Linked DNA regions of Mus musculus. The protein of the gene in region 2 purifies or fractionates together with the protein of the main gene of each other region. This does not show direct contact. Links are inferred from orthologs where the notes say so. Each region holds a gene or a part of one and is shown on either strand. Other genes may lie near its edges. The genes, in order: Chd3, Mta2, Dnmt1 and Bcl11a.

Region 1 (4,768 bases), on a different chromosome or scaffold from region 2:
CAGGGAAGTGGGCCGCCTGGGTCACCCTGGGTGTGTGGGGCGAGGAAGCCCGTGAACTCTACTTCCCACCCAGCCCGGCAGGAGGTTCTCAGTTTTAGGCCGACGTCGGTGGCCAGCAGAGGGAAAGAATGGCGAGGAGAGGCAAGGAAGGGTAATAAAGCAAATCTAAGCCCCAACCTCTGTCTCAGCAGCCTCTCAAAGCTGGCCGCGAGCCCAGACTCTCCCACTTCCCGGCTCAGATCTCGGGAAGGTGGGGAGGGCGAGGGCGGAGTCTGGCAGTAGGGCTGTGGGAGGAGCCTGGGCAAGAGCCTTGCTCCCGCCCCTCTCTCCTAATCTCGCCATCAATCTCTCACACTTATATTTATTTTTTTCTCAAATTCCCCTCCCTCCCCCACAACGAACCTCCATAATAGGTCTACTGCACATGCGTACTGAATGCAGGAGGTGGGTTTGTATTTTCAGACCTTTTGCAAAGAAACTACCAGAATTTTCCGCACCACCCACAATCATTTCCCCACCCCCATCCCCACCCCCCAAGGAATCACATCTATATATTATGTTATATTATTTCTCTAGACTTGCCAGAAGGGGGAGGGAGAAGAAATGAGGTTTTTTTCTTTAGCTTCCTGCTCCCTTCCCCCACCAACACGAATGCTATTATTTTAAACGTTCAACAATGTAAGGAGACTGGCGCGATGGGGGAAGGGATAAAAATTGGTCTTGGGTAAGAATGTAAAACAAAAATGGTGAGAATCAAAGCAGTCGCACTGAAAAACAATGGAAGGCTCTCACGAGTACAAATTCATATTCCAGAAAGAGACGAGGGCGGGCAGCCTGAACAGAGCTCCTTAAGAGGAGACTTATTTTTCCCCACACTGAGGTAGACGGATAATGAGTACGCTAAAAATATTTTCCGAAAGTTTTACCTCAGAAAGTCATCTGAGGGGGTGTATCTGGGTCATTTTGACTTGGAGGGCTGGAAGGGGGATGAAATTGCCCAGGGAGACAGAGGAGGTGAGATTTCATTTCAAACATAAAAATTCAAAAGCTTTTGACGCTTCTCAAGGATTCAAAAGCAAGGGGGGAGGGAGGACGCCACACAAAGACCCATCTCGACCTTAGGCTCGTTCATTCTCCTCTCTTACAGGCATCCAGTGCCGGGGATCAAAACCAGATCCGGAGTTCAGAACAGTTAGGCGAGAGTTACCGACGCCCTAACTCACCTGACAAGCCCCTCTCCCCTCTTTTTCACACCTTGCCGCAGGCAGCCCTGCGGGCAGCCCTCTCTCTCCTCAGGATCTTTAATTCTTCCCCCACTCCAAGGGAATCCTGAGGGCTCGCTGGAATAACTTTTTTCTAAACTTTTCCTCTTTTACAGGTAAACCTGACGAGGTTAGGGGTGAGGCTTTACCCAATACGCATTAAACACATTATTTTTAACACCCCCCACCCCCGGAAAAGCTGTCTCAACACGTGCGACAAAAAGTCACAGTGGTCAGTAAGACAGTTTTACAAATAACGTTTTAAAGTTTGGTGTGTGTGTGCTGCTCTGCCGCCAGAGACTTGGGGGTGTGGATGTCCCCAATCAGAGGTTGGCGACACCTATCCTAAAGAAGCTAGAAATCACTCTCCACTTGGAGGGTGGTCTGAGAGTTGCGCCACTGATCCAGAGAAGGGTCTGTCCCAAGCACAGCTGGACGTCCTACGCCAGTGGCAGGTGACTTGTCATCTCGGAGAAGGGTGCTGAGTGATGATGGTCAGGACAGAGCAGCTGGGTGGGCAGTTCACGCCCCCCAACGTGGTCAGGGTGTGTGGGTGGTTTCATCAAGAGAGTGACAGTGAATGGCAGCCACGTGAGAGTCACAGCTGGGCAGTTCGGCCACCCCAGACTGACGGGGTCACGAGGGGGGGATGGGGGCTGCACTTGACACAAAAGAGCCCGGGGCAGAGATGACGAGGGTGGGGCCGGGGGCATCTGGCTCCCCAGACATTCTCCTGTCTCTCTTCAAATCTGAGGTGACCCGAGACCTCGGCGGCCAGCTAGGGGGGAGTGGACGGTATGTCCAAGTCTTACTCCAGGAAGTGGTCTGCGTGGAGTGTGGCCACCACCTGCCTCTGGTCATCAGCCGCTACAAACATTCGCACGCCCCCTCCCACGCGTGCCACCGCACACCCCTAAGTTGGCGGGCACCGAAGTCCCTGCAGGTGGAGGGGCTGGTCCGCGGGCCACTGTCCCACCTCTGCTTGCCCAAGTCCCCAGCGGAGGGCGTCGGGTGGCAGTCAGCTCCACACCCCGAACCCACTCGGCTTCAGTCCGACCCCACCGGGGCCCGGCCCAAGGGGCGCTCACGCGGCCGCCCCTCCCCCACGCGCCCCTCCCCCCACGCCGCCGTCCGGTCGCCGGGGTCTCCGCGGTCCCTCGCTCGGCCTGGGAGGGGGGCCCTGGCTTCGCTACGGCCGTTTCCTGCCTACCCCCTCCCCGCCGAGGGTGAAAAAAATAAATCTCCTCCCCCGAAAGCCGCGACCAAGTGGCCCGGTCCGCGCGCGCAGCTCGCTCCCTGCGCTCTCCAGCCCGGGCGCGGCGGCGGCGGCGGCGGCGGCGGTGGCGGCGGCCGCGGTAGCGGCGGAGGAGGGGTGCGGCGGGGGAGGGGAGGAGGCCTGGCCCCAAGGCCGCCGCCGCCCGGACTGCCGGGCCCGTCTAGACCCGCCAGGCGCCCGGGACTCTCCTCGGCTCGGCCGAACCGTAGGTGCCGGGCCCCGCGGCTCCGCTCGGGCCCCGGGGAGTCGGACGGACGCTTACCTGGTGGCGGGGGCGGCGGCAGCGGCGGCGGCGGCGGCGGGAAGAGGTGGCAGCTGGGGGGGCTGTGGCGGTCGCGGCTCCGGTCGTGGCCCGGCCCGCGCCCGAGTACTCCCTCTTCGTCCTCCTCCTCATCGTCCTCGTCGGCCGCCTCCACCTCCTCCTCCTCCTCGTCGCCCTCTTCTTCCTCCTCTTCTTCCTCCTCCGACACCACCATCTCCTCCTCCTCCTCCTCCTCGTCCCTCAGAGGGGAAGCCATCCTGTGGCTCTGGCCCCCCCACCACCCCCCCACCCACCGCCCGCCCGCCTCCCCCACCGCTACCACCACCACCTCCTCCTCCTCCTCCTCCTCCTCCTCCTCCTCCTCGGCGGCGGCGTCCTCCTCCTCCTCCTCCTCACCGCCTCCCCCAGCCCCCCAAACCCCCGGGCCACCCCCCTCCAGAACACCCACCCCCGGGGCCGGCGTCTGAGGAGGGGGGCCGCACCACCCCCAAAAATGTTCTTGGAAAAATTTAAGGACTTTTTCCCCCTTCTGTCTTTCCTCCCAAGAGAACAAGAAAGGGAGATCGTTTAAAAAAAAAAAATTATATATATGTATATAAAAGTTTTCGACTTCTCTCTACCCCCCTCGGTTGCTTTAAATATATTTAAATTCTGAGGGGGGCGCTCAGAAATATTTCTCAGAGCTGAGGCACTAAGATGGCCGCCTTGAAATTATTTTTAAAACAACCCCCCCTCCAGCACTGCCACCCCCCTCTATAAAGAAAGAGAGAGGGGGGTAAAATCCCCTTTTAAAACAAAATGGCTGGCTTAATATTTCATTTTTCATACACCCCCATTCTCCCTGTTACATCCAATCTCCAAGCTTCTACTCAGAAACCCACAAATTTCTCCCTTTTTTCATAACTGATTAGTGCACAGATTAATACATTTTCCTTGTGTATTGAGAGAGAGAGAGAGAGAGAGAGAGAGAGAGAGTGTGTGTGTGTGTGTGTGTGTGTGTGTGTGTTGGGGGGCATGAAGGATTTCTGCATAAAACAAAAATGGCTGCTGTGACTTAACTCCCCCCCTTATAAAAATATTTGGGGGGGTATTAATCAGTACTCATGCTCAGTCTGACATCAGCATAAATTGTTAAAGGTTAACTAGTTAGATACTAGTCCAACTAGATTGAATTTTTCTTTTCTTTACTAGTCTTCTTCCTCCCCCCACCTCCCTTCTCTAAAGAAAAGCTTTTTTTTTTTTTTTCTGAATACTTCAGAAGGGAGTGGTTTGATGTGAAGGTTTTTTTTTTTTTTCCTTCAGGCATTGAAAAGGAAAAAGATGAAATATATGTTTATATATAACTCTCTACATACCTCATTGAAGTCAAAATGCATTTAATTGTGTACGTAGCTTTTAAATGAGAAATGGTACTGGCTTTTTTTTTTTTTCTCCTTAAAAAAAAAGTGACAGAAATCCTAGTGACTTTGGGGGGAGAGATATGAATAGATGATTGAGTTTTTTTTCCAAGGAGTCCATGTTTGATTCTCTCCTTTGCCCAGCCCTCAGTGTTCTGTGAATGTTGTCAATTTTATCTCTACTCTTTCCCTTCCTCTCCTCCAGTGGCTTGCTTGTAAAATCGTCTGACTTGAGAAATTAATTTGGTGGTGACTAGGTCAGATTTTTAGGAGAAAGAGGAGAGGGTCGGATCTGAAGATTGTGAAATTCTTTTCTCCTGTGTCATCGAACGCCTCTTCCTCCATGACCTTCGACACTGATAAAGTAGAAGAAACTGAGGCACGGGGAGAGGAAAGCAACTGAGAAGAGAGGAACGAGGTAGGGCGAACACTCAGGCCTTTTCACTGAACCGGCTGACCTGTCCTTTCAGACTGGATCCCAGTGTTTATCTTAAAGTTGTAGCAGGGATCAGATGAGCAGCTGAGCTGGAGCCCAGAAGTAAGTTTTTCCTACAGAGAATTGACAGAGCCG
Region 2 (5,045 bases):
CAGAAACCTCAGGCACATGCTCATCGGTGCATTGTTCCCCTGAAAAATGGGGGTACAGATTTGGGGTGGGGGTGTCCGTGTCTCTCTGTGCTCTAGGAAAACCCAGAGGTAGGGCAAAAAGAACCACACCCCTACCCCTTCTGATTGGATAAGGCCAAGGTCAGCCCCTGCCAGATGGAGCCGGAAACCCCAAAGGGCCAGGAAACTTGGTAGGCCCAGTTCATTAACCCTTTCATGACTGCAGCCTGAAAAAGAATCTAGGAGGGAAAAAGGGAGTTAAAAGAAAACTAAGTGATGCGGGTAGTGCTGGCACACGCCTTTAATCCCAGCACCAGGGAGGCAGAGGCAGGTAGATTTCTATGTTCAAGGCCAGCCTGATTTACAGAGTGAGTTCCAGGACAGCCAGGGCTACACAGAGAAACCCTGACAAAGAAAAAAAAAAAAAAAAAAGGAAAGAAAAAAGATAAAACTAAGTGAAAAAAAATTACAATATAAAGATCATAGAGAAAATGCAGACAAAGCAAAAATAAGTAAAAATGACACTAACTGGAATGGAGAGGAAAAATGGTGAAGGCAGGGAAGTCCAAGAGAACTGCTCCTAGCTTATCATCTCTATTAATGTTTTGGCATCGCCTCCAGACTACAGCATAAGCCTCTCTGTTATGCAGACTTCTCAAAACAGTATCTTCCTCTTCACCTTGGCCATCACTCACTAACCACTGTCCCAAAGTACCCAAAATGTCCCCGAGTGCCTGCTTCTCTAAAGCTCTTTTCATTTCCTATCTAAATATCTCTCCACTCACACACATAAGCCTCATTTTGGCTTTCCTTATCATGGTCTGCCCGCCCTGCTTCCAACCCCAACGTGTAACAACAGGCCTCCCTCCGCAGACCAGGCACTTCCCACCCCCCCCCAAACTCACACCCTCCCTTGGGCATGCTGCCAGGGGAAACACCTGCAGGAACATGTCTAGTCCTCAGATCCTGGGGAAGGGAGATGGGTAAGGAATGAAGACACTCACGAGCATTACTGTCAGCCAAGCTGTTGAGGCTACTAGAAATATCCCTTCGCCGGAAAAGACAGACAACCTTTGCTTCCACATTTCCATTTGCAGTCTAAAGGAGGGAGAAAAACCGAGAAGGAAAATTGGCCATTTGAAAGTGGAGATGCATGCCGGGTGTGGTGGTGCACGCCTTTAATCCCAGTACTCGGGAGGCAGAGGCAGACGGATTTCTGAGTTCAAGGCCAGCCTGGTCTACAAAATGAGTTCCAGGACAGCCAGGGCTACACAGAGAAACCCTGTCTCAAAACAAAACAAAACAACAACAACAACAAAAGAAAGTGGAGGTGCTGGGGGGAGGTGGGGGAGTGGAAGTGCGCAGAGTCAAAAGCAATATCTCCTTAAGGGTCTAAGTAGAAGAGCTAGAAAAACTTAGCAGTAAAGACTTAATACTCAAAGATAATTTCAGAACCAATGAAAAGGGTCTCCATGAGTTTAAGATCAGCCTGGTCTACACAGCAAGTTCCAGGCAGCCAAGGTTACATAATAGAGAGACCCTGTATCATTAAAAAAAAAAAAAACCAACTCCACTCACCTTATTGAGCTCCTCAATCCGTCTAACCAGGTAAGGATTGCTGGAGGAGTTCTCAAAATAGACGTAATCTGTAGGAGGTGGGGAAGAAACAAGAGGATCAGAGGAGAGGGCACCCAGATGAAAAAGTCGCTCTGTGTGGACCAAAATGAGACAAAATTCTAGATAGAGATGAAGTGGAGATGAGCAAGAGGAGAGAGTTAAGAAAATAAGTACTAGTCATTAGCTGGACAGTGGTGGCATATGCGTTTAATCCCAGCAGTCTGGGAGACCAAAGCAGGCTCTTGGTTCAAAGCCAGCCAAGTCTACAGCTCAAGTTCCAGGACAGCCAGGGTTACACAGAGAAACCTTGTCTCAAAAGAAACAAGGGGGAAACCTGCCTCAAAAAGGAAATGGGGGGTGGGGGAAGAGAAGAGAGAAAAAAAGAAAAAAAAAAAAAAAAAAAAGGAAGGAAGGAAAAGAGATATTATGGAAATACTTTGCCAGGCAGTGGTGTCACACACCTTTAATTCCAGCAGTCAGGAGGCAGAGGCAGGCGGATCTCTGAGTTCGAGGACAGCCTGGTCTACAGTATGAGTCCCAGGACAGCCAAGACTACACAGAGAATAAACCTTGTCTAAAAAGAAACAAGGAAAAAAGAAGAAAAAGGAAATGAGTTTTTACCCCCTACCCCTGCAACACCCAGTTCTAAAGTCAGATCTTCACTCAAAAGTGAGACTTAAGAAACAAGAACAAGAATTTCCCTGGAGTCCATACAACTTTGCACTCAAGTTGCATCCTTGTATAGGAGAATTGAGTAAACTGTTCAGGCCCCACCTTCGCGAACGCACAAGCCGCCACAGAAAAGAAAACCCCTGCGCGCCTAGCCCCTAGCGCGGCTGGCCGGACGGTGGGTCACTCGGGCCCCTTCCAAAGCCAAGGCCACTTCCAGCCCGGCGATCCAGTCACAGGTCTCAAGAGCACCGTTACGGCTGCAGGTAAGCCTCTGCGGTAGACTCTGCGCCCGATAGCGTCGCCGCCGCGGAACCATGGCTCTTGATTCCGGTTCCGGTCGGTGCCGCGGCCCACACGACCCCAGATGTGGCTCCCCCGCGCCTGCGGACACCGAGTCTCCCTGATCCCGGCCTCAGCCTCTTCCGCTCAGGGTACTCACCTCCCACCCGGTACATGTTAGCCGCCATGGCCGTTCCCGCCGCCGCCTCCGGCCACACAAAGAGGTCCCGGAGGCTCGCGGGGGCAAAGCTCAGCTCCAGACGAAGCCCCCAGCGCGTGGCTGACGCTTCGCGGAAGTGTCGATGGGGCCCGAGCAGCCGGCACCTCTGCTCGCTCAGCCGCCGCGGCTCATCACTGCCCGCGCGACGACGACACTGCTATAGCCTCACGCCGGGACACCGAGGCCAGCTCCGGTCTACTCGGCTTCTTCCGGAACGAGCTCGATTCCTGCCTGACCGGAGTGAGGTTCCAGCTCCTAGCGTCCTCACCGAGTCCCAGCAGACGTCGTGCGGTGCCAACCGCTGGCAAGGTTTGCCCTGCCCGCGTCCGGGTTCGCCTCCTTCCGGAACACCTTCGGCCGATCCGGAGAACAAGGCCCAGCGCTCGGCTCAGGTCGGAGAGCAAGACCCCGCAGATCGGCCACTTCCGGAAGGAACTCGGCTCCTTTCGCTCAGCCGCGGCCTCGCGCTCGGTTATTTCCGTTGCAGCTCGACCCCGCCCCTGAGGGCGGTGAGGAGCCGGAATTAACTCTTTGCACTATGGGTCCTAGCAGCTCCCCGGCAGTGGCGTCGAAAGGCGCGCGCGCGCCCTCACTCTTCTTGAGGTTATTTGCAAGCCGCTTTGCCTGTTATTTGCATATTTGGTCTGAACTCCCTTTTCTCTTCCCGCCCTGCACTTTTTTCTTTCATCCTAACACAACTGGGCCCCTGAGGGGACCCGCCGCACAAAAGCACCAGGCAGTTACTTTTTTCTTTTTATTGCCCCTCACCGAGCAGAGGGTGTCGGAGCTGGGTTGCCTGGCTCAGCCAGCAAGTCTGTTGTTATTTTGTGTGCAGTGGGGTGGTTAGCCCCTCCAGAAAAATGCGCAATTGGGAATGTATGAAGTCAAAGAAAAAGCCAGCACAGGAAAAGACTGTCCTTGGTCCTAGGGGTTTTGGCCAGGGTGGGGCCAGACCACAGTACCAGAGGGACAAGACCATCCAGCATCAATCACACGTCCAGGGAGGAGGCAGGGGACAGAGAGGGCGTTCTAGATGGTGTGGCAGGAGCGGGCCCAGAGCTCCCTGCCCCCAGCACTCGCCACTGAAAGATGCTAGCATCCTTGCCACCTAAGGAGACAAGGTATGAGTCGTCGTGCGTGAACCGGACACTAGTCACATGGCTGCCATGGCCTGAGTACATACGACTTGGCGCCTAGATGAGAGAAAAAAAAAAAAAAAACAACTGGTTGCAGCAATGGCAGGGTACCAAACCTACCCACCTGGGCCCAATGGTCCCCTGAAGCCTCACCTTGGCTCGAGCACATGGGTACTGAAAGAGGTGTACTTTGCAGAAGTCGTCTGCCACAGCCACCACCCGTTCATTGTGGGAGCGGCAAAGGGAGTTGATGTCTGTCCCATCAGAGCCATCAGGCCACACACCTAACACAACAGGTGGCCTGAGTCAGGCTGCTACCACAACCTAGAGTTGCAGTGTTTCAGGTCTTCAGGTTGCCACTGCGCTCCAGACAATCCCAAGGGGCCTCCTAGCCTGGATTTGCCACTATGACCCCCACCCCGAGGTGGCACACGCCCAGGATTCTGAGGGCAGAATGGGTTCTTCCTTGTTTCCCCAGCCCTCCTAACGGATTCCAGATCCTGGCTCACCATAGACGTGGAAGCCCAGCACACAGGTATAGGTAGCCCACTCCCGGTCTCTGCTCTCATAGCGGTTCCTCAGCAGTTTGCAGCCTCCAGCCACATCCCCTAGGTGGAAATCGCCTACTCAGCCGTCATTCTTCCCTCACTTGACGACATGAACTGATCATAGGCATAGCGTCCACTATGAACCCCACTGTGTGCTTCCCAAGTTCTCACTGACTTGGCTTGGCTTTAAGTTAGGCCTGCATGATGGTGCAGATCCTTAATCCCAGTCCTAGTGGGGCAGACAGATCTCTGAGTTGGGGGCCACCCTGGTCTACAAACGCAGGTGACAGAGGGAACCCTGTCTCAGAAACAGAGAATGTAGCCTTAGACATGCCTAGAGCCTCTGGATAAAGCACTAACAGTTTCTCATCAGCTGCCCCTCCCCCACTTGCCCTAAGGAGCTATCCTAAAGCACTGTCTTCTTGGTGCAGCCGGCTTTTTCCTTTGTTTTGGTTTGTTTTGGTTTGGTTTTTTTTTTTTGGGGGGGGGGGTTGTTTTGGTTTGGTTTTTGGTTTTCCGAGACAGGGTTTCTCTGTATAGCCCTGGCTGTCCTGG
Region 3 (4,265 bases), on a different chromosome or scaffold from region 2:
GGATGTAGCAAGAATCAGATTGGAGGCTTGAGACCAGAGGAGGCAATCTCCTGTGTTTGGTTCTCTGAAACGGTGGCCATCTCCCTCAGGCGAGCAACAAGGCGCGTCATGGGTGCTACCAAGGAGAAGGACAAAGCACCCACGAAAGCCACCACCACCAAGCTGGTCTATCAGATCTTTGACACTTTCTTCTCAGAGCAGATTGAGAAGTATGATAAGGAGGACAAGGAGAATGCCATGAAGCGCCGCCGCTGTGGTGTCTGTGAGGTGAGCCGGCTATCCTTGGCACCCCTTCCTTAGATGTGAAGGAGAGCACTCCATGCTTTGGGGTAGCCTCCTGACCCTCTCTGTCCATCTGGGGTTGAAGTCGGAGTGTCCAAGACCTTTGGTCTTGCTGATGCTAGGCTACAGATCCTGGGTTTCCTGAGAGATGCTAGCTCCGCCTCTATTTCCTGTGGGTGTTGAGAGAGCAGACGCTGACCCCAGGAGCCAAAGCTGTCCCCTCCACCCCCACCCCCGGGCACATTTCCTGGGATTCTATCTAGAACTGAAAGTGCACATTTCTCTCAGTTTAGACTTATGGCTGCAGAAGCCTCTTGCTTTGACCTCCAAGAGCTGGCCTTACAGACCTGTGCCACCGTGCCTGGCTCTTGTGAATTATAAATCCTTTTCATATAGATAGCCTTGGAATCAACCTACATTACACTAAACAAGCAAACACAAACTTCAAATAATGTGGTAAAGCTACACATGGAGGCGCCGGCCTGTGATCCTGGCCCAGGCTGAGAAGTGGAGGCAGGAGGATCGGGACTGCAGGGTCATGCTCAGTTTATCGTGAGTTTGAGGTCAGCCTGGGCTGAATTTATCCTAAACCATAGCCTACACGTGCATGTGTGTTCTGAGGCGCTTCTGTGTCCAGGGCTGACTGAAACTCCTCGTGTGCACTGGGTATCCAGGTATGCACTGCCGTGGCCAGACCTGTGACGTCAGTGTGTCCTGCCTGACAGCAGCTTGCAGGGCTCGCCTTGGCCCAGGCTGTACAGGGACTTGGGTATCCTGTGGCTTTGAATGGGTGAGGAGACTCCTGCGTGTGCTGTTCTGAGCATCCAGGGGGCAGCTGGGGGTTTATTTTCTTCAGAGAAAGTCACCTTTTGCAATTTAGTGTTTTGACTTTCCCTGGGTAGAGCCTGGCTGGTTTCCACACACCACAGTAGCATGTCCTCTACTCTCTTGGCAGCCCTCGTGAGGATGCCCTGTCCTCGCTGTGCCTCGACTTTGCTCACTGTCCTTGTATCTGGTGTTTGTTTTAAAGGTGCCCCTTTTTTGGCAGTGGTGTGGGAGTGTGGTTGCAGTGGTGGTGGGTTTTTTTAGGTGAAGTCGGGTACTTGATGGTCCTGTTTGGTTACCTTATTCTCATGGTTCGTTTTTGTTAGGGGCTGTCCCCACTGACTGGTGGGGACTCTGGTAGCTCTGTGACACTCAACAGAGCTGCTTGTGAGCTTCTAAGGTGCCGTCAGCACCCTGTTCACCTCCGGATTCTCAGATGCACACGCCCCTTCTGCACGTGTCCTCTGTGAGCAGCCGGATGGCCTGGTACCTAATACAGGTTAAGGCCATGTGTGGCTGCCACACTATTGCTCAGGGGAAGGGTCAACACACTCTGTTCAGCACAAGGCCAGTATGTTTTCAGAGTTTCATTAGAGAGCTGTCTGCATGGGCCACAGTGCATATGAAGGTCAGGAGGAACTCTGTAGAGTTGGGTTTCTGCCTTCCTGTGGGCCTTGGGTATTGAACTTGGGTTATAAGGCTTGGCACCAAGTGCCTTTACCCACTGGCCCAACATGCAGATTTTTGAAAGTTATAATTAAAAATTCCTGGGCCTGGGTGTGGTGGCACACACCTCTAATCCCAGCATTCAGCTGCAGAGGCAGGAGTATCTGAGTTCAAGGCCAGCCTGGTCTACATAGTTGCATGACAGCCAGAGTTTTGTAGAGAGAGACCGTCTCCAAAACAAAAACAAAAAGGCCAAACAAAGTTTCTAGTTGAGAATTGCTGATTGATCGACTTGTTTGCTATTTTTCAGGTCTGTCAGCAGCCTGAGTGTGGGAAGTGCAAGGCGTGCAAAGATATGGTGAAGTTTGGTGGCACTGGACGGAGTAAGCAGGCTTGCCTCAAGAGGAGGTAGGCTGTGCTGTATTCTACTCGGATAACAGAGCAGCCAGGGTGCCAGGGCGTGCTGCAGGGACGGGGTGTGGAGCTGACATGCGCTTTGCTGGGGTTGACTGCAGTGTGTGTTCTGCAGGTGTCCTAACTTGGCGGTGAAGGAGGCAGACGACGATGAAGAGGCTGATGATGATGTGTCAGAGATGCCATCACCCAAAAAGCTGCATCAGGGGAAGAAGAAGAAGCAGAACAAGGACCGCATCTCCTGGCTTGGGCAGCCTATGAAGGTGAGGCCCCTTCCTCTTCATGCTTCTTCTCTTCGCGCCTCTGAGCCCAGCCGTGCAGCCAGGAACCTGCTGGCAGCCTCCCGAGAGAGGAGGACTGTCGTCCAGCTGCTGTCCCCTTTCCCTCCCTCGTTCCTGATACTGGGAGTGGAATGCAAGGCCCCAGACTGCTGGACTAGAGCTCTGCACCTGAGCTGTGCCTCACTCCTCATGGTGGACCCTGAGCCGAGGCTGCAGCACAGGTAGCCCATCCGCTTGTGCCCTTTGTGGTGCTCCATTGCCACCTCTCAGGCGCTAAGCCGCGTGCTGCCCTGTCAGACTCTGTTTTGTTGCTATAAAAACCAAGCCTGATGGTGGTGGCACACAGCCTTTAATCTCAGCACGCGGGAGGCAGAGGCAGGCATGGCAGGCATAGCTTGAGTTCTGGGCTACCCTGGTTTACACAGCATATTCCAAGACAGCAGTTCCAAGAATGGGGAAAGGTCAGAAGCCTTGTGGGTTTGGTTTGGTTTGGAGATGGGATCTTACTGTATAAGTTAGAACTTCTATTTTCATTAGTTTTTTTAGATTGATTTATCACATGTAGATGGCTGGGGTTAGAAGAAGATATGGAATCATCTAGACCTGCAGTTAAGGTTGGTTCTGAGCCACTGTGGGTGCCGGGACCCGAATCCAGGTTCCCTGTAAGAGCAGTGAGTGCTCTTTGTGGAGTTGCTTTCTTTTTAGCCTTTCCAAAGTGAGGATTACAGGCATGCGCTACCAATCTCAGCGGCTCATGCCTTTTGAGTCAAGGTTTTTTACTGTGTAGCTCTGGCTGGCCTGGAACTCAATGCAGCCTGCCTCTGCCTCCAGAGTGCTGGAATTAAAGATGTGTGCCATGACACCTGGCTTTTTTTCTTAATTTGATTACATTTACTCATGGATGCCGCAGCACGGTGTGTCAGGACAGGTCGTGTAAGTCGCCAATCTCCATCTCCCATGTTGGTCCCAGAGATCAACCTTTGGTCATCTGCCTTGGAAGCGAGCTTCTTTGTTTATCCACTGAGCCATCCCATCCTCCATGACTTAGTAAATCAAAAGTTGTGGTTGGTTGGTTTGTCTGTTTGTTTATTAAGGGTTGCTAGGGATGGAGCCCAGAGCCTGGTATCTCTTAAGTACACTTTGCACTGCTGACCCACACACCCTTAGTCCCAAGTAATTTTCATAGGAAGTCAGGGAGAGCCGCCACCCAGGTTAAATCTAGTGAGAGCCTTGGATGTGACTATCACCTGGGCTCCATCGCTTGCTTTCAGATTGAAGAGAATAGAACTTACTATCAGAAGGTGAGCATCGATGAGGAGATGCTAGAGGTGGGCGACTGCGTCTCGGTCATTCCAGATGATTCCTCCAAACCACTCTATCTAGCCAGGTATGCATGCCTGCCTTTTCTCTTGAACACCTCAAGTCCAACTTTGTCAGAACAGACCCCAGGTTCTGCTGGTTACATGAGACATTTCTTCCCCGTCCTGTCTTATGACTGCAGGGTCACAGCTCTGTGGGAAGACAAAAATGGTCAGATGATGTTCCATGCGCACTGGTTCTGCGCTGGGACAGACACAGTCCTGGGAGCCACCTCCGACCCCCTGGAACTGTTCCTGGTGGGCGAGTGCGAAAACATGCAGCTTTCCTACATCCACAGCAAGGTCAAGGTCATCTACAAAGCCCCTTCTGAAAACTGGGCCATGGAGGTGAGTTCCTCCTTTCGTCCCTATGTTCTGTCCCACCGTTAGAGCCGAGGCTGACACGAGTCTGTCTCCATAGGGAGGCACAGACCCTGAG
Region 4 (3,880 bases), on a different chromosome or scaffold from region 2:
TATACTTGCTGCCTTTGTTTCTGGATGTTTAGGGTTGAGGGGAAAGGTCATTTTTATTATGAGGAAAGGTCATTATGGAGAATAGGGAGCTATTCGTTTAAGGATCCCCCTTTTTTGACATTACACTCTAAAATAGGGAAATAATGGAAGAACAGAAAGGACTTTTAGACACAACAGGCACAGCAGAAAATCCAAAGGAGACAACTGAGGGGCGGCTCCTGGGCTCACAGGTACCTAGTGGATCCCACTAAGGACAGAGCAGAAGTTTTGAACAGTGAACAAGAATTACCTTCCAACTGATCTAAACCTGTACTTCCATGGCTTGAGGTATGTCTATTTTAATAACAGTAAGTATATTATGCTCCTTTAGGGTATAATACACACATCAAAATGCCCATAGAAATGACCCTGAAAAAGACTAACTGGCCTTCTCTCAAAACCTGTTATTTTGTTGAAAGTAATTTACAGAGTGTGTCAAATGAGGACACAAGAAGCTGACATAGTACTTTAATTTTTTTATTTTTTTTCAATAAAGGGACAAAATGGGTGTATGAACAGGTTAATGCAGACAACTGCCAAAAAAACACAGACAGTGGTTTTTCCAATAGAACTTAACAAAGACCAGAAACAAATACAGTAAAAAGCCAGGTTGCAATGACCTTTGGTCATCCAAATTAAAAAAAATAATAATAAAAACAGAGAAAAATAAAAGATCAAATTAAGTGCCTCTGTTTTGAACAGGGCATATAAGCAATAATAAATAGTGACTCCCATAGTAAAAGATAAAATTTCAAGTTACGACAAACAGCTTTCATTACAGGAATAGAAAAGGCCAATAACAAAATATTCTGCATTGCCATTTACAAAAAAGTATTGACTAAAGCGGGCTTTCTCTTTAATATGCTTTGCATAAGAAATTCTCTCCAATCTAAATATAAAGCACCATTTAGTTTTTGGCAATGAAAAAAACTGCAAAACATTGTTGTTGTTTTTTTTTTCCTTTTTTTTTTTCTTTCTTTCTTTTACTGCATATGAAGGTAAGATGCTGGAATGTCGGGTGAGCGGGGAGGAGGGGCCAAAGCACACTACATAACAAACCAACGCTATTAGCTTGCAGTGCTGCGTACAGCATGGCAGCAGGAAAGGGGGAAAAGGATATGTACAACCCCTATGACAGCCATCCATGTGACATTCTAGCAGGCTCCCCAAACCGCCATTATATGGCTTCTCTGTACAATGTCACACCTCTCTCTCTCTCTCTCTCTCTCTCTCTCTCTCTCTCAGCATACAAATAATTTGCACTATATTATCCTGCCAAATTAAAAAAATATACTGTGGCAGCCTGTCTTTTTTTTTCTACTAACAAAAAGGTACATTGATACCTTTTGAGTGAACAAGCAACAGTTAAAAATACAAGCTTCAATATAAATACTATAGTGCCTAACACTAGATGAACATTTAATTCAAATACCATTCTAGAAATACAGAAAGAAGACCATAACTGTGTTTTAGCATAGGAATCAACATGAGTGTGCGTTTTCCTATTTTTAAGTACTATATAATCTTAAACCTTTCCCCATGTATGTTTTTTTTTTGTTTTGTTTTGTTTTCATTTTTTTTTACAACCTGAAGAGCGGTGTGTGATCCAAGGCATAGAATTTCCACTACCATTTTTAAATGGATAACAGGTCTTGTAACACCACCAAGACAATGGAACCCTAAAATGCTGTTCCCCCCTAAACATAATGAAGTGTCTTTTTAAAAATTCTTTTCTTAACATTTATACTTAAAAAAGTTTTGTACAAAAATCCTTGCACTGTAGAAGCAAAGGAGTCATTCGTTTCTATGTTAAGTGTGTTGTTTCCATCCACAGCGCTTGCAATGTTGCATCCAAGTGAGGAAGCTCAATAGTCAAGTCAATGGCTGGCAACGTCTGTCTTAGTTTTTTTTAGGTTTGCTTGTTTTTTTTTATTATTTTTTAATGCTCATCATTGAGATTGTGTTCAATTGTTTTCAGCATTCTTGCAACGTTTCCCTTAATAAAGACCTGTAAACTGGGAAAACTGTACAGTGCACTTAATTGTCCTATCTGAGCAGGTTTATTTTATACTCAACCTCTGTATCTCTGATTAGAGAAAAGATACAGGTATCATAGGCAGAGTCAAGTGCTATTTGAACACCAACTGGGGCAGATGCTAGCTTAAAACAAAGAAGGAAGAAAAAAGAAAGAAAGAAAGAATAAAACAAAATAAAAACAAATCCTCTTCAATGTTAACACAAATAGCACACAGTGTATGGAAAAGAAATGAAGTACAACTTCCAGGGAGCACAGACATAGATACTGCTGCTCTTAAAGGTCTTCCTCTTCTTTTTGAAGACTGTCACATTAAATGCAAGTCTTAGAGCTTCAGAGTTAATCATCATTGTATCGCTGGCCCCTTATACACCTGTTCTAGTTTCAAATGGCAAACAGTACTACATCGTGCTAACCAATCACTACCGTTTTCTGTCTCTCTCTCTCTCTCTCATCATATCAGCCTGTTCTTTCAAATGTCCTCTAAAGGGCTTTATCATTTTATTGTCCACTCAACAACCAACTAGAGCCGGATCTACTTCTTTTGGCGCCAGAATTTCATTAAATGCATCATTTTAAACAAGTATTGTCACAAGATGAACTTCTTGCTAATGTATTTCATCACATTCCAGGGCCTTTGCACATTTCACATTCAATTTGATAACCATTTAAAAATAAAATAAAATAAAACTTTAGGCGAAACAGCCCATTTCTTTTATGCTCTCACAAGGAGCAAAGTAGCTTTTATACTGGTATAATCAGTTTTGTTCACAAAGTTAAAGGCAAAAATCAATGATTAACTAGGACATAATGGGTCATATTTTTAGGTAGCCATTGTTGTGAGAAATACAACACAGAATTACATGCTAGGTCCTAAAGTTTATTACCTCACCCAATGCTAGATTAAACTACAAGTTTATAACAAGCAGAAAAAAAACCATCAACATGGTTTGAATAGATCCAAGGCACTCATTTTAAAAGCCAAATGATAGAATAAACTTGTTCTTCTGTTAATTTGTCAATTCAAGGCCTTTTTTCCCTCTCCAATTAATACATGTAACCCTTTAGAGACAGACATTTAGCACCTTTTTTTCACTGCTATCTGCTCTGTCTGCAGAGGGTTAGTCAACCCAGACACCGTTTCCCTCCTCGTGTTATAAAATAAAGCTGCACATGATCTGTATTACAGAATTATGTATGCAGCATGCGTTGTTTTCTACCCTCCCTCCCTCACACTCTCAGAATGGAACTGGAAACAGCAACAACATGTTTGCTCATAATGAATTAGGGACAATTTAAAATAGCCGTAACATACCATACATGCTGTCTAAGTTAAGGGGGGAAAAACATACACAACATGTAAATTATTGCACAAGAGAAAGGCTCAAAGTTTGCGTAAAATGCAATAGTATTGCCCCAAACATGCATTCAAACGGTGAGAACATAAAGAATTTAAAATTTAAAAAAAAGAAGAAGAAAAAGAAAAAAAAAAGGAAAAACAAAACAAAAAACCAGGTGTGCTGGTGACAAGCACTCATTCATATTCTTAGCTTCCATTACCTCTGTTGTTTGTTTGTTTGTTTGTTTGATCACATGGGACTAGAAAAATCCTACAGGGAGTAGGGCTGGAAGGACAATGGGGAAGGGGTGGAAGGGGGGCATCAAGTGGGAGTGAGGGAGGGTATTAATATACCTCTATTCAGTTTTTATATCATTATTCAACACTCGATCACTGTGCCATTTTTTCATGTGTTTCTCCAGGGTACTGTACACGCTAAAAGGCATCTTACAAATTTCACATTTGTA

What was found.
Region 1: the proteins of Mta2 (region 2) and Chd3 purify together in Homo sapiens (affinity purification with mass spectrometry; 8 studies listed by BioGRID and IntAct, with this or other methods). This does not show direct contact. The link is inferred for Mus musculus from reciprocal best matches to the Homo sapiens genes MTA2 and CHD3.
Region 3: the proteins of Mta2 (region 2) and Dnmt1 purify together in Homo sapiens (affinity purification with western blotting; 3 studies listed by BioGRID and IntAct, with this or other methods). This does not show direct contact. The link is inferred for Mus musculus from reciprocal best matches to the Homo sapiens genes MTA2 and DNMT1.
Region 4: the proteins of Mta2 (region 2) and Bcl11a purify together in Homo sapiens (affinity purification with mass spectrometry; 4 studies listed by BioGRID and IntAct, with this or other methods). This does not show direct contact. The link is inferred for Mus musculus from reciprocal best matches to the Homo sapiens genes MTA2 and BCL11A.

Annotation. Positions count from the first base shown.
Region 1 is NC_000077.6:69,366,336-69,371,103, forward strand, and holds the start of Chd3 (chromodomain-helicase-DNA-binding protein 3), read right to left. Parts: upstream 3,092-4,768; 5' UTR 3,057-3,091; coding exon 2,801-3,056; intron 2,744-2,800; exon of another isoform or gene 2,655-2,743; intron 1,386-2,654; exon of another isoform or gene 1,224-1,385; intron 126-1,223; exon of another isoform or gene 1-125.
Region 2 is NC_000085.6:8,940,084-8,945,128, reverse strand, and holds the start of Mta2 (metastasis-associated protein MTA2), read right to left. Parts: upstream 3,210-5,045; 5' UTR 2,775-3,209; coding exon 2,747-2,774; exon of another isoform or gene 2,739-2,746; intron 2,657-2,738; exon of another isoform or gene 2,097-2,656; intron 1,665-2,096; coding exon 1,597-1,664; intron 1,117-1,596; coding exon 1,023-1,116; intron 1-1,022. Other genes in the region: Eml3 (echinoderm microtubule-associated protein-like 3), read right to left, coding at 3,796-3,999, 4,096-4,226, 4,452-4,550. UniProt on the Homo sapiens protein: May function as a transcriptional coregulator. Acts as a component of the histone deacetylase NuRD complex which participates in the remodeling of chromatin.
Region 3 is NC_000075.6:20,918,025-20,922,289, reverse strand, and holds part of Dnmt1 (DNA (cytosine-5)-methyltransferase 1), read left to right. Parts: intron 1-89; coding exon 90-267; intron 268-2,083; coding exon 2,084-2,181; intron 2,182-2,302; coding exon 2,303-2,450; intron 2,451-3,739; coding exon 3,740-3,855; intron 3,856-3,969; coding exon 3,970-4,174; intron 4,175-4,247; coding exon 4,248-4,265. UniProt on the Homo sapiens protein: Methylates CpG residues. Preferentially methylates hemimethylated DNA. Associates with DNA replication sites in S phase maintaining the methylation pattern in the newly synthesized strand, that is essential for epigenetic inheritance.
Region 4 is NC_000077.6:24,165,056-24,168,935, reverse strand, and holds the end of Bcl11a (B-cell lymphoma/leukemia 11A), read right to left. Parts: coding exon 3,770-3,880; 3' UTR 501-3,769; downstream 1-500. UniProt on the Homo sapiens protein: Transcription factor. Associated with the BAF SWI/SNF chromatin remodeling complex. Binds to the 5'-TGACCA-3' sequence motif in regulatory regions of target genes, including a distal promoter of the HBG1 hemoglobin subunit gamma-1 gene.